Saccharomyces cerevisiae S288C: one gene and its partners. The gene in region 2 interacts genetically with the main gene of each other region. Each region holds a gene or a part of one and is shown on either strand. Other genes may lie near its edges.

What was found.
Region 1: mutations in ARP6 (region 2) and PHO23 impair growth when combined (synthetic growth defect), as found in Saccharomyces cerevisiae (6 studies listed by BioGRID, with this or other methods).
Region 3: mutations in ARP6 (region 2) and GIM3 together harm fitness more than expected from each alone (negative genetic interaction), as found in Saccharomyces cerevisiae (5 studies listed by BioGRID, with this or other methods).
Region 4: mutations in ARP6 (region 2) and RPD3 together harm fitness more than expected from each alone (negative genetic interaction), as found in Saccharomyces cerevisiae (5 studies listed by BioGRID, with this or other methods).

The regions. Positions count from the first base shown.
Region 1 is NC_001146.8:440,702-444,346, reverse strand, and holds PHO23 (Pho23p), read left to right. Parts: upstream 1-1,988; coding exon 1,989-2,981; downstream 2,982-3,645. Other genes in the region: 40S ribosomal protein eS7 RPS7B, read left to right, coding at 32-175, 521-949; PLS1 (Pls1p), read left to right, coding at 3,428-3,550. UniProt on the Saccharomyces cerevisiae protein: Component of the RPD3C(L) histone deacetylase complex (HDAC) responsible for the deacetylation of lysine residues on the N-terminal part of the core histones (H2A, H2B, H3 and H4).
Region 2 is NC_001144.5:299,907-304,207, reverse strand, and holds ARP6 (Arp6p), read left to right. Parts: upstream 1-2,218; coding exon 2,219-3,535; downstream 3,536-4,301. Other genes in the region: condensin subunit SMC4, read right to left, coding at 1-1,965; RAX2 (Rax2p), read left to right, coding at 3,957-4,301. UniProt on the Saccharomyces cerevisiae protein: Component of the SWR1 complex which mediates the ATP-dependent exchange of histone H2A for the H2A variant HZT1 leading to transcriptional regulation of selected genes by chromatin remodeling. Involved in chromosome stability.
Region 3 is NC_001146.8:345,169-348,340, forward strand, and holds GIM3 (tubulin-binding prefolding complex subunit GIM3), read right to left. Parts: upstream 891-3,172; coding exon 501-890; downstream 1-500. Other genes in the region: serine/threonine protein kinase YCK2, read right to left, coding at 1-108; INN1 (Inn1p), read left to right, coding at 1,145-2,374; RPC31 (DNA-directed RNA polymerase III subunit C31), read right to left, coding at 2,598-3,172. UniProt on the Saccharomyces cerevisiae protein: Binds specifically to cytosolic chaperonin (c-CPN) and transfers target proteins to it. Binds to nascent polypeptide chain and promotes folding in an environment in which there are many competing pathways for nonnative proteins.
Region 4 is NC_001146.8:16,990-21,161, reverse strand, and holds RPD3 (histone deacetylase RPD3), read left to right. Parts: upstream 1-1,859; coding exon 1,860-3,161; downstream 3,162-4,172. Other genes in the region: PEX6 (AAA family ATPase peroxin 6), read left to right, coding at 1-1,621; AAD14 (putative aryl-alcohol dehydrogenase), read left to right, coding at 3,914-4,172. UniProt on the Saccharomyces cerevisiae protein: Catalytic component of the RPD3 histone deacetylase (HDAC) complexes RPD3C(L) and RPD3C(S) responsible for the deacetylation of lysine residues on the N-terminal part of the core histones (H2A, H2B, H3 and H4).

The DNA of each region.
Region 1 (3,645 bases), on a different chromosome or scaffold from region 2:
ACACACTAAAGACTAGACACATAACTGACCAATGTCCTCTGTCCAATCCAAGATCTTATCCCAAGCTCCAAGTGAGTTGGAATTACAAGTCGCCAAGACCTTCATCGATCTAGAAAGCTCCTCTCCAGAACTAAAGGCTGACTTGAGACCATTGCAAATCAAATCTATCAGAGAAGTATGTTAAAAGTTATATAATTTGGAAGCAGCAACATTGTGATTTCTTCTAAAGGGGTTCTTTGCAGTAATTTTTTCAAAAAAGAGTGATTTTGAGCAGTATCTGTATGAAATTTTCATGTGTTCGAGAAAAATAGTAATTCCGAGAGCTGTCAATACCATGAACGTTGCGATGAGCCTTTGAACTATAAAGGCCTCCTTGGTCAGTACCAATATCGATGAATAAAATAGAAGCACGCGAAAAAGACCTTACCCCAAGGAGAAGAATCACAAACCCTTTTTTGTTATGAATGAACCAATTCAGTTACTAACTTTATTTCAACGCTGCTTGATTCTTATTGTTTAGATTGATGTCACCGGTGGTAAGAAAGCACTAGTCCTTTTTGTCCCAGTTCCAGCTTTGTCTGCATACCATAAGGTCCAAACCAAATTGACCCGTGAATTGGAAAAGAAATTCCCTGACCGTCATGTTATTTTCTTGGCTGAAAGAAGAATCTTGCCAAAACCATCTAGAACATCTAGACAAGTCCAAAAGAGACCAAGATCCAGAACTTTGACTGCTGTTCACGACAAGGTTTTGGAAGACATGGTTTTCCCAACTGAAATTGTCGGTAAAAGAGTTAGATATTTGGTTGGTGGTAACAAGATCCAAAAGGTTTTGTTAGACTCCAAGGATGTTCAACAAATCGACTACAAGTTGGAATCTTTCCAAGCTGTCTACAACAAGTTGACTGGCAAACAAATTGTTTTTGAAATTCCAAGCCAGACCAACTAAATAGTGAGATAACTATCATTCTCATCATTTGTCATACTTAAAGAAAATAATATTAAGAAAAAATAATAAAAAAAGAAACATAGTTATGAGAATACAAAAGGAGGTTTCCAAAAAGTGGGCTTTTTTAATTCGAGTAAAATAATTATGAATGTATACTTAAATATATTTTGTATCTGTCAATATAGAGATGCTTTAATTGGTGTTTTGACATTTTGGAATACATATTGGGTTGATTTCCCAAGTTCTCGCTGCAATCAGATAAAAAGGAAAAAAAATAATGGTTGCTAAGAGATTCGAACTCTTGCATCTTACGATACCTGAGTATTCCCACAGTTAACTGCGGTCAAGATATTTCTTGAATCAGGCGCCTTAGACCGCTCGGCCAAACAACCACTTATTTGTTGAAGAAAAAGCATTATTTATCGCTAGACAACGATACGTCCATCAACAACCGTTAGTTCTTTCACATTGATATGCGGATTACTTATCTGAAGGAAAGGAAAAAGGCGTGGAACAAGTGAGCATTAACATAACCATCTGAAATCTTAGATGATCCCAAGTATGTGTAATTAGATCCGCCTCTTCGCCCAGCACATTGTCCATGCATTATCTGCTTACCTCTACGCGTACCTTGACATGGCGTGTTACGTGTTTCAACTTTGTATAATCAGAATTTCATTTGAGTATATTTTACAAGTCAAAAGCCCAAATGACGTATACTTGAAATAATTGAGGCACGTCCAATTGTGAGTGGCAAACCTTTTTTTCGGTATTCTAGATAGAGCTAATCGCGTATTTGCAATTATAGTTTACAATTCTTAGACGATTTCCGAAGAAAGTTAAAAATGCCCTTGAAAAAAAAATATGTAGGAAAGAGTGCATGCACATGAAGAAGAAAGAAAGAGCTAGGGAAAAAACGAAAAAGGAGCCTAAGGAAAAGAGTTAGGCGTTTACAACAGGACGAACCCGGAAGGAGAAAAGTTTGTAGTCTTGCAGTATCACAAACAGCAACCACGTTCATAGTCTGAAATACGTACAAATGAGTTCACCAGCGAACCTATTCCCTGGATTAAACGACATAACTGACGTGCTGGAGGAATTCCCACTGGCCACCTCCAGATATTTAACATTACTACACGAAATAGATGCAAAATGTGTGCATTCTATGCCGAATTTGAACGAGAGGATAGATAAGTTCTTGAAGAAAGACTTCAATAAAGATCACCAAACACAAGTAAGACTGCTCAATAATATCAACAAGATTTATGAAGAACTGATGCCATCGCTGGAGGAGAAAATGCATGTCTCATCCATTATGCTGGATAATCTAGACAGATTGACGTCCCGGTTAGAATTGGCGTATGAAGTCGCAATCAAGAACACAGAAATTCCTAGAGGTTTAAGACTGGGTGTGGACAACCATCCAGCAATGCACCTCCATCATGAACTAATGGAAAAAATAGAGAGCAAATCAAACAGCAAATCGTCGCAGGCACTGAAGAGCGAATCAAGAAGAGAAGCCATGGCTGCCAACAGGAGGCAGGGCGAACATTACTCCGCCAGCACACACCAACAAGACGACTCAAAGAACGACGCAAACTACGGAGGCAGCAGGCACGAGAGCCAAGACCACACTGGTAACAACACAAACTCAAGAAAAAGAGCCAACGCTGCCAATACCAACAACGCCGATCCAGAGACCAAAAAACGCAAGAGGAGAGTTGCCACCACAGCCGTTTCACCAAGCACTATCAGCACGGCAACTGCCGTCAATAATGGCAGGATAGGTACATCTACAGCGTCCAGGGGAGTTAGCAGCGTCGGAAACAGCAACAACAGCAGGATATCAAGACCAAAAACCAACGACTACGGCGAACCGCTCTACTGCTACTGTAACCAAGTGGCATACGGGGAAATGGTGGGGTGTGATGGCGCAGACTGTGAGCTAGAATGGTTCCATTTGCCATGTATTGGACTCGAAACTCTACCTAAGGGCAAGTGGTATTGCGACGACTGCAAAAAAAAACTGTGAAATAGCTCTCGGGCGAATATCGCCTTAAGGAAATATCTACTAAATACCGAATATATACATATATATATATCTTAGCTACATATATATATATCTTAGCGTTTTAACGGGCGTGGCCGTATCAATGGATCTGCAAGATACTTGGGCCCTACCGGTCTAGATAAAATATTCAAATCGATGGTGATGACGGCACGATAAAACGTAATAAATGATGAAATGACTTGTCACGGCGTAGCAGCGCCAGCAGCTCAGTCTAATCGCCGTACAGTGGGTGGTGTGGCTAATCGCTTAGGCTTTTTATTCAGAAGGACCTTTTCATTCACCTCGCCCCCCTTGGAGGTTCCTGCCTGACCCCTTTGCCCCTGGCCTCGCCCCTGCGCCATGTCTCTGCCTGGAGCGTGACATTTAGGACGGTGAAGCTAGGCAGGCCTTCAGAAATTAAACGGAACATGACAGCAAAGACGAAACAAAGCTGGAATAAGGGGATCTGGGAAAACGGGAAACAAGGTTCACATCAGCAAACATTTCTACCGAAAATCTGGGTAAACATTTATAGTACCCCAACATCTTAAGTTTTAGCCGTTGTCTTCTCTTATCGCCTAGAATCGCTCATTTCAAGCGTAACGCAATCCGGCTTTTGTTTTTTTTCCATTTTATTCATCCACTC
Region 2 (4,301 bases):
ACGCTGGCGATGCGCGTTCAAAACCTTTTGCATTTCTTTTAACTTTAGATGAGCAGAAGTAAAATTCTTTTCACCTTGCGACCTTTCATCTTTAAGTGAGTTCAGCTTCTTTTTCAGATCGAGGATAAGATCTTGTAGCTCCTGCTTGTGTGTTTTCTTGGCAAGAATTTTTTCTTCTAAAGTTTCAACGTTTTTTTTCAGTTTAGCTTGAGTTTCCTCCAACAAAGATAGTTCGGATTCAGCCAATTGTATCTGTGATTCTTTTTCCTGAAGTTGGAGGTCCCAAGGCTCCAGTTCCTTTTCATGCCGAATAATCTCTGCAGATATATTCTTCGTTTTATCTTTCAAAGATAGTTTAATATCATCAAGTATACTTCGTTCCTTTTCCAGCAATTGAGTCAAGTCTTTGATCTCCGTCTCGTGTTCGGTTTGTTGTCCACGAAGCTCTTCAAGCATATTCTCGGCCTCCGATATTGAATGTTTGGTGGATTTCAAAGTCTTTTCTGCTTTTTCCATTTTACTTACCAAATTTTTTGTTCTCTCTTCTAGAGACACCCTGGTGCCTTCTAATTCTCTTCTTTCTAAAACCAGGGTCTTTTCTTTCGAGCTACAAGATGATATTCGATCTTTTATTTCCTTACGTTGTGCTTTAATCTCATCCACTTTTTTCAAAGATTCTTGAAATTTCATCTTCTCATCTTCGAGGTCTTTATTCGAAGAGGAGATCTTTTCCAAGGTGCTGGCAAGTTTAGAGTTGCTTTGCAACAATTTAAATTGAAATAATTTTGATCTTAAAAGCGTCAGCTGCTTTTCCTTCTCTAAAAACTCTAACGCCGTTTCTTTCCCTGACTCTAAAGAGTTTTTTTCTCTATCAACAATTTCAAATCTATTTTCCTTTTCCAGGCAAACTTCATTTAGATTCTCAATCTGTCCCATTCGCTCTTCAATTAACGGCTTATAGTTTGCAGTTCCAATTATGTCCTCCAGATATTCCAGTAGTCCGTCGTCACTCTCTTTTTCTGCTTTAGGCTTCATTTGAGCAATATTCTCTACTTCACCTTGTAGAATTAAAAATCGTTTATGGTCTAAATCAATACCCTCATTCTTTAAAAGCTTTGTCACCTCTGTGTAGCTACTTTCTTTTTCGTTTATGTAATATTTCGATGAGTTGTTTTTAAAGGCTTTCCTTGTAATGATCAATCCAGGTTTTTCTTCATCGATTCGGGAAGTACCCGAAGATTCATCAATAACGTACTGAAAATGTACAGCTACGGAACATGATTGCAAACTTGGGAAAGCTTCTGATTTATGAATTAAATCCGACAATCTGTCCTGTCTCATCTTGTTCGCTCTAAATCCAAATACAAATAACATGGAATCGATGACATTTGATTTACCTGAACCATTGGGGCCTACCACGGCCGAGAAGCTAGTATGAAAGGGTCCTACTACTTGTTTACCAGCGTAGGACTTGAAGTTCTCTAAGACTAGTTCGTTAATAAATAGTCTGCTCTGTTGCTTGCTCGACGACTGGTGCCTATCATAAATTTTTTGTAGTTCAACCCTGCTATTTTTCACTGGCGAAAGCTGGAGCAATTCTAATCTTCTAGTTGGCGATCTTCCTGGAGACCTTGGTGGTGATTGAGAGTAGGACTTATGGTCGCGACCCCTAGAAGAGGTTTTTGGTGGTTGCAAGTTCGGTACATGTAATGACGTGGTTGTTGAGTTTGTAGGTTGAGAAAAGGCATACCGATTTTCCCCAGAACTTAAAACAAGCTTTCTGGGAGTATAAGATTTGGAATAAGATGCTTCCAACGCAGGAAGATCCGGCTCTGGTGTATTCTCGCTTAGGTTAACTCGGTTTTCTACCTGCGAATCTTCTTCGGCATCACCTTGATCAAGAGATAATTCTGGTTCTTGGGCGGACTTCCGCTTTTGTCTTTTGCTCAATGGACTATCAGACATCAAATATATTCTGTTGGTTGCACGTGGTTAGTGTTTAAGGTGATGCGGCTTCTTATAGGGCCTCTTTTATGGTATGAAATCGATTCCAGTGTGTAGATAATGTAAACCTATATGTATTTTCGTGATTATTGTAAACAGTTTACTTTCCGTCCATAATTACAAATGCATTTCAAAATGGGCCAAGAAGAACAAGAGAATTAATGCAAGACCAAAGGAGAAGAAGCGCAGAATCGTGGACAAGATAATTTAAACTATGGAAACACCACCCATTGTGATTGATAATGGCTCATACGAAATCAAGTTTGGTCCTTCCACGAATAAGAAACCGTTCCGAGCTTTAAATGCATTGGCCAAAGATAAATTTGGGACATCGTATTTATCAAATCATATCAAAAACATCAAAGATATTTCATCTATCACCTTCAGGAGGCCACATGAACTAGGACAGCTCACATTATGGGAATTAGAGAGTTGTATATGGGATTATTGCCTTTTCAATCCTTCAGAGTTTGATGGGTTTGATCTGAAAGAGGGAAAGGGTCATCATTTGGTTGCTAGCGAGAGCTGTATGACTTTACCAGAATTAAGTAAGCATGCCGACCAGGTGATATTTGAAGAATATGAATTCGACAGTCTTTTCAAGTCTCCTGTAGCAGTCTTTGTACCATTTACCAAGTCATATAAGGGTGAAATGAGAACAATTTCAGGTAAGGACGAAGATATCGATATTGTCCGTGGCAACTCAGACAGTACAAATTCCACATCAAGCGAGTCCAAGAATGCGCAGGATTCAGGTAGCGATTATCATGATTTCCAATTAGTTATTGATTCCGGGTTTAATTGTACTTGGATAATTCCTGTCCTGAAGGGAATACCGTACTATAAAGCGGTAAAAAAATTGGACATTGGAGGCCGTTTCCTAACTGGGCTACTAAAGGAAACTCTATCATTCAGACACTACAATATGATGGATGAAACCATACTTGTTAACAATATCAAGGAACAATGCTTGTTCGTTAGCCCGGTGTCTTATTTTGATAGTTTCAAAACGAAGGATAAGCATGCACTAGAATATGTACTTCCTGACTTCCAAACAAGCTTTCTTGGTTACGTAAGAAACCCCAGAAAAGAAAATGTACCGTTACCTGAAGATGCGCAGATCATAACACTGACAGATGAGCTTTTCACAATACCAGAAACTTTTTTCCATCCAGAAATTTCGCAAATTACTAAACCAGGCATTGTGGAGGCCATCCTAGAGAGCCTTTCCATGTTGCCCGAAATAGTGCGACCTCTTATGGTAGGAAACATTGTATGTACAGGAGGAAACTTTAATCTGCCCAATTTCGCCCAACGGCTTGCGGCAGAACTACAAAGGCAATTACCCACAGATTGGACTTGTCATGTTTCGGTGCCCGAAGGTGACTGTGCTCTGTTTGGGTGGGAAGTGATGTCACAGTTTGCAAAGACAGATTCCTACCGAAAAGCGAGGGTCACAAGAGAAGAATACTATGAGCATGGTCCCGATTGGTGTACGAAGCACAGGTTTGGTTACCAGAATTGGATATAATTAACTATAGATTTACATAGCAACAATGAAAATCCGAAAAGTCGAGACCTTCAGGTCATTTTCAATTTGGATTTTGTCATGTTTTTAAGAATCTTCCGCAGGCAATAATACATCTCATATGTTTTACATTTTTATTGACAAATTCCCAAATTAGGCAAAAATTCCTCTTTTTTAGTGGTTAGAAACGCCATTCTTCCCATTTTTTCGCGATACAAAAAAAGAAATATATGGAAATGTGGAAATGTCATCATCAGAAGTCTCGAAGGAAAGTGTGCGCTTTAATCATCCCCATACTAGACTTTGTAGGAGAAGATAATACAATTTTCGTTTTATATTTATACAGTTGATTGACCGGGAAACGAAGAAACGCAAGAGAAAACGATCAAAATACACCTGTTCTTCGTTACGATATAGAAATTAAATGTTTGTTCATCGTCTCTGGACACTCGCATTTCCTTTTCTTGTGGAGATATCGAAGGCATCACAGTTGGAGAATATTAAATCTCTTCTGGACATCGAAGATAATGTGCTACCGAATTTGAATATATCGCAAAATAATAGCAACGCAGTACAAATCCTCGGGGGTGTGGACGCCTTATCTTTTTACGAGTACACAGGCCAACAAAATTTCACTAAAGAAATAGGTCCAGAAACAAGCTCACATGGATTAGTTTATTACTCTAACAACACCTATATCCAGTTGGAAGATGCCTCTGATGATACTCGAATAGACAAAATTACACCATTTGGCGTTGATTCGTTTATT
Region 3 (3,172 bases), on a different chromosome or scaffold from region 2:
ATTGACCAATCTAACATTGCTACGGTTAGGCATTTGTGAGTTCATTGTGTTATTATTGACAGCTAAACCAGAGTTCGTTGCTGTCAAAGGACTTTGCACTTGAGACATTTTTGGAAAACTATTTTCTTGGCTTATATGCTGTGTTCAGTAGAAACAACAAGTTTTGTCTATCAAAATGGAGAAAAAAACTTTCTAATATGATCTGCACAGAAACACGAAACACAACCACGTTCTTAAATCTCGAAAGAGAAAAACAATATCAAACGAAAGAAGTAATTTCCGTAAAGAAACTCTTTTTTTCTGTCTGAAAAAAAAGGTACTTAGGAATATATGCGGATTACAAAGGTATACAAAAAAAACTCTATCTCATACACAATAACTTAAACTTGCTTTTTATTATCATGTTCTTTACTTTTCTTTAATTTCCCTCCTGAAAAAATTAAAAATTTTTCATTACTCATTTTGTGGAGACACCCACAGCCCACACTTTAATGAGTGTTCTAACGTTCAAGGTTGATATTATCACCAAATTTAGCATACAGGATCGCCTTCAGAGCATCAAGACGGGAATCAATGTCTCTTTGCTTGTCCTCTAAAGTCTCTATTTTGTTGTCGAGACGTTCTGCGTCTTTTTCGAGCTGTGCGGTAACTTTGCTCTGTTTCATGAAGATAAAGAGGTCGCCCACCTTGTATTGCACGGGCTCATCTTCGTCAATCAATTCAATTTCTAGAGACACATCATCGAGGTACTCCTTCTCCTCCCTCTGTAAACTCAATTCCTGCGCAATGGCGTCCTTACGCATAATCAACTTCGAAAACTCGTTGATCTTTTGCTGATCTTCGAACGTTACCTGAGTGTTGTTCCTTTGTCCCTGTGGTAACAGTTCCATAATGGTCCTCTGTTAGTTTCTTGGCGTTGTGTATTCTGGTAGTTTCCGCAGGACCAAACAGAGCATAAGTCCTCTAAGTACTTAGCTTCCTGTAAAATTGTATGAAAAGCCGCCTCTGCTGATCATGAATGACGGCCTAGCGTTCCTCATATGATTTAGATAAAAACATAGAAAGGTATGTTAATAGTACGAGAGAATTCGGAGACCTTAGGTTTCACAACTGGAATTGGGTTAACTCGTTGAGTCACTGTCGAATGTCCGAAGAAGTATGGAATGGAAACCAAGGAATCCTCTCCGTATATGTGAGCAAAGCTAGAGACTTGCCTAATTTGAATAAACTGGACAAGCAAAATGTAATGCTTAGGTTGCGAATAGCTCATATGACAAGAGCCAGCAACACTCTACATCGAGCAGGTCAAAACCCTGTTTTCCATTATTTAGAAAAATTTGATATTACTCCAGAGATAAAGCCTTTAATGTACGTCGAAGTTTACTGCGATAGAAGGAAAAAATCTCCGCTGCCAATTGGAAGATGTGAAATAGACCTTTTAAATGCTATTAGAGCAGACCCGAAGGAGGGTTATTGTACCTGGTACGAACTGAAAAGAAGTGGGGATGAATTTGCTGGCACTATATTCATTGAGTTGACTTTCACTCCCAAAGTACCTCGTTTAAACAGGGACGATCTTAACAAAGAAATGGACAGGTTGGATTCATCTATGGCTATGAGGCCGATACCACCATTGCCAACAGAATCAGAGTATGACTATGTTCATGGTTCTACGATGAGACAGATTACTCCCCAGTGTGTTAGCACAAGTCACGAGGATAAGGATGAGGGACAGCCCTACAGAAATGGCAATGTTTTCTCCATGTCATCTAAATCAGATACAGCGGTATTGGCAAATAGTAATGACCCAATAATTTTACCTCCAACTTTTTCAGCATCCATGGGTACAACGTCTACATTAGAAACTAATGATACTGCTATATCAAACACTTCGAATACAAAATTCCATTTTGCCAATTTAAGGAAATTAAAGGAGAAGATAAATATATTTAAGAATCCTGATAGTTCAACAAACAACTGCCAAAATGAATCTAACAAGGTAGATATTGAGGCACTTCAAAAGGCTATTGGTGTAACTTCGTTGTCTTACGACGAAGATGATGACGATGACGACGAAAATGACGCATTTTATTCTTCCAGCCATAGAGTCTCCCACAACTATAACCAACCGCCCTTACCTCCTATACCGACCAGAGATGATATGTCCAATTATTCAAGTTCGCGCAATACGCCGTTAGTAAGAAGAGATAGACCCTCACGCCTAGATTCCTCTTCGCCTAACTCACATCCTCATCCATCAGGCCTGAATTCTCCAAAACTACCACCTCTACCGACTACTTCGAATTCCAATTTTAATTCGAGGAAGAATTCGATGTCTCCTACAAGAAAAAGACCACCTCCAAGGCTCAGCTAATGACAAGAGAAACATGCTGTTATTGTAATACTAATATTTAAATAGAATTAAGATTTTTAATGTTTACCAAGATTTTTTCTTTTTTAAATTTTATTATTTCAATATGTATACATAAATCTGTTGCGCCCTCACCGCCGATCTAAACCATAAAGAAAAATGCTAATTGTACAAATTCTGCTTTGAAGAATATCCAAAAATATGGTAAAGCGGTATAAATTTTCAACTAAAAGGCGGCCTCTTCATTTGGATCCTCTTCATCACCGTAATCATCATCGTCACCATTGTTGAAATACTTTTCAGCATTATAATCATCATCATCTTCTTCGTCTTCATCTTCTTCGAAATCATCATCCGCCAAATCATCATCTTCTCCTTCGCCTGTTTTACTTCCTTTTGCTGCCCCATCACCCGTCGACGCATCATCCACATCTTCTGCCAACTCCTTTAACTTTGCCAGCATGGATAGTCCGATGTTTTCATCTTGTAAACCTGTACCAGTAAAAACATCATCGGCATTATTAAACTTGGAGATTGCCAATAATTTTTTCTTGTTGATCCCCATTACATTGTACAATTCATTGGGAAAGAGGTTCAAATTATACGGATGATCATCAATAGAAATACCTATTTTCCTTTTTTTCAAATATTTATCGGAATATCTTTCAATGCCATCATTAGTATCGTCTTCGTCTAGGATTATGTTGGGTTTGCGTTTACCGCTCTTGCTGTTTTCCTGTTGATCTATTATCAAGCTCATTGATCCGGTATAAAATGGGCCATCTTTAACAGTCTTTCCAA
Region 4 (4,172 bases), on a different chromosome or scaffold from region 2:
AATGGTGAGATTTGCTTCAAAATATCTTGGTATACATCTACTGGAGATAGATTGCCTTTCGCTCACTTCAAATTCAAGACAACTGGATTCAACATCTAAGATTATTGGTTACATTAGGGCTAAATGTGAAAATGTCCTACCGTACGCATCACCTGCTGTGATTTTTTTGGCTCATTTGGATTCAATTTTGCTTGACGTAAACGCTAATCAAGATCCAGAGGCAATCAAATTACAAAAATCTATAAACTTCGAAATGTCTAAACTTCTGGACGATTTTACGTTTAAATTCCCAGGAACTACATTTGTTGGCTCCGTAAATAACATAGATAACGTGCCTTCCAGCTTTAGATCACATATGAGATTTGAGATTCTCGTACCCGTTCCGTCTGAAGCACAGAGACTGCGTATCTTTCAGTGGTACTTATCTTCACATGAACTAAACAGAGATGTTCAACAAAAGGTTCCAGTATCTTACATGGATAATATTTCATTTTCATCACTCTCTTCATATTCTGCTGGTTTAACTCCTTTAGACATCAAATCAATTGTGGAAACGGCACGAATGACGGCTACTGCGCGTTTTTACCAAGAATCAAAGAAGTGTGGATGGCTTCCGCAATCAATTTTGATCACTCAGGAGGATTTATCAAAAGCTACTTCGAAAGCTAGGAACGAATTCTCGGTTTCGATTGGTGCCCCACAAATCCCTAACGTAACTTGGGATGATATAGGTGGTATTGATTTTGTTAAAGGTGAAATATTGGACACAATAGACATGCCGCTAAAACATCCTGAATTATTTACCTCAGGTATGAAAAAGAGAAGCGGTATTCTTTTTTATGGTCCACCGGGTACAGGTAAAACTCTAATGGCTAAGGCCATTGCAACAAATTTTTCTTTAAATTTTTTTAGTGTTAAAGGCCCTGAACTGTTGAATATGTACATTGGTGAGAGTGAAGCTAATGTGCGCAGAGTGTTTCAAAAGGCGAGAGAGGCTAAACCTTGTGTCATATTTTTCGATGAAATCGATTCAGTAGCACCCAAACGTGGTAATCAAGGTGATTCGGGTGGTGTTATGGATCGTATCGTTTCACAGTTACTAGCAGAGTTAGATGGTATGAGTACCGACGCTGACGGTGTATTTGTTATCGGAGCAACAAACAGACCAGACTTATTGGACGAAGCACTACTAAGACCAGGACGATTCGATAAATTGTTATATTTAGGCATTCCGGATACGGATACCAAACAATTGAATATTTTAGAGGCTCTGACTCGCAAATTCGTGCTCGACAACGACGTAAAGCTTATTGAGTTGGCAAAGCTATGTCCATTTAATTACACCGGGGCAGATTTTTATGCTCTCTGCTCAGATGCAATGCTTAACGCCATGTCAAGAATTGCACGCATGGTAGAAAAAAAAGTTTCTCAGCATAACGAATTGACGGGAGAGAATATTTCTACACGTCGCTGGTTTGATAAGATTGCGACAAAAGAGGATACTAAGGTTGTCGTAAAAATGGAAGACTTCTTGAAAGCACAAGAGCAGCTCACCCCAAGTGTGTCGCGGGCTGAACTGAATCATTATGAAGCGGTGAGAGCTAATTTTGAAGGTGCTTAAGTAATATCAACTCAGAGCGTATAGGTAAATTTGTAAATATATGTCCCATATTTTGCCTTGAAATTTATCTTTTTATTTACTTACCCTCCCCGGCTCATAGTATCTATCGAAAGGGAAAAACAGAAAAGATACTAGTAGTTGATTATACATAATAAAAATTTGAAGTAATAACCATAAAGGTTCATAAAACAATTGCGCCATACAAAACATTCGTGGCTACAACTCGATATCCGTGCAGATGGTATATGAAGCAACACCTTTTGATCCGATCACGGTCAAGCCAAGCGATAAAAGACGCGTTGCATATTTTTACGATGCAGACGTTGGGAACTATGCATATGGAGCAGGTCACCCGATGAAGCCGCATAGAATAAGAATGGCACATTCCCTTATTATGAATTATGGCTTGTACAAGAAGATGGAAATTTACAGAGCTAAGCCGGCAACGAAACAAGAAATGTGTCAGTTCCATACTGATGAATACATTGATTTTTTATCGAGGGTTACTCCAGATAATTTAGAAATGTTTAAAAGAGAAAGTGTCAAGTTTAATGTCGGAGATGATTGTCCTGTCTTTGATGGGCTCTATGAGTACTGTAGCATATCTGGTGGTGGCTCTATGGAAGGAGCTGCTCGTCTGAATAGAGGCAAATGTGATGTTGCTGTCAACTATGCGGGTGGTTTGCATCATGCAAAAAAATCGGAAGCTTCTGGGTTTTGTTATTTAAATGACATAGTACTGGGCATTATTGAGCTACTACGATACCACCCCAGAGTTCTGTATATTGATATTGATGTGCACCATGGTGATGGTGTAGAGGAAGCGTTTTATACAACGGATCGTGTCATGACATGTTCTTTCCACAAATATGGTGAGTTTTTCCCTGGCACAGGTGAACTGAGAGATATAGGGGTGGGTGCAGGAAAAAACTACGCGGTCAATGTGCCATTAAGAGACGGTATTGACGATGCTACGTATAGATCTGTGTTTGAACCTGTGATAAAAAAAATTATGGAATGGTATCAACCTTCTGCTGTCGTGTTACAGTGTGGTGGGGACTCCTTGTCCGGCGATCGTCTTGGTTGCTTTAATCTTTCCATGGAAGGCCATGCTAATTGTGTAAACTATGTGAAATCCTTTGGGATCCCAATGATGGTTGTTGGTGGAGGAGGCTATACTATGAGAAATGTTGCAAGGACATGGTGCTTTGAAACAGGTCTACTAAATAACGTTGTCTTGGATAAAGATTTACCGTACAATGAATATTACGAATATTACGGTCCAGATTATAAGTTAAGTGTTAGACCTTCGAATATGTTCAATGTAAATACTCCCGAATATCTTGACAAGGTAATGACCAATATATTTGCTAATTTGGAAAACACAAAGTATGCCCCTAGTGTTCAGTTGAATCACACACCTAGGGATGCCGAAGATTTGGGTGATGTTGAAGAAGATTCTGCCGAGGCTAAAGATACGAAGGGTGGTTCGCAATATGCGAGGGACCTACATGTTGAGCATGACAATGAATTCTATTGAAAAAAAGAGTTGGAAGTATATACGAATATAAATAATGTGAAACAAAAGAAGAAAAGTGAATAAAAGGCACTTAAGACGCTATCCAATTGTGTATGAGAAGTGCAAACTCAATTTTTTTGCAAAAGACTTTTCTCAAACCTTTAATTGATGCGTTCCGTTCATACATCAACCGCGTCCCATACGTTTCGAAGAAAATTGCCTATATGTGTTATTTACATACTAGAGATATTTTAATATTGAAACAGTTGTATTTCTATTGTAATTACTATCTAAACGTCTCGTCCCACCGCTGTTGATAAAGCGGTGCCAATATAATTTATAATCACGCCTGGGTAAATGACTTTTAATTTCTTAAATCATCGAAGTATGCGAAAACAAGAAGTCTTTATTCATAATAAAAAACAAATTCGGTTACTACGACTTTTATATGTCATTCAATATTTGGTAATAATTTTACAGTATTAACCCTATCCTCATCTGATTCACTCTCTTCTAATTGCATATATTTTCAAATTCGCTTTCAGCGCTGTACAAAACCAGTAAGCAGATCTCGTACGAAGACTCAAATAAGTTGCATTGTTCGTATTCAAGGAAACCGGGGGGCAAAATTTCCAACCATATTTAAGTATGACAATATTTCCAAGTCAAGGATGCATGCTGTTCTTCTCTTCATTAACTAGCTAACCAATTAGCTGAACGGCTTTGTATTTTACTTAACATATTGTCTATTGCATAAAAAACCACTATTCAGCATGACTGACTTGTTTAAACCTCTACCTGAACCACCTACCGAATTGGGACGTCTCAGGGTTCTTTCTAAAACTGCCGGCATAAGGGTTTCACCGCTAATTCTGGGAGGAGCTTCAATCGGCGACGCATGGTCAGGCTTTATGGGCTCTATGAATAAGGAACAGGCCTTTGAACTTCTTGATGCTTTTTATGAAGCTGGAGGTAATTGTATTGATACTGCAAACAGTTACCAAAATGAAGAGTCAGAGATTTGGATAGGTG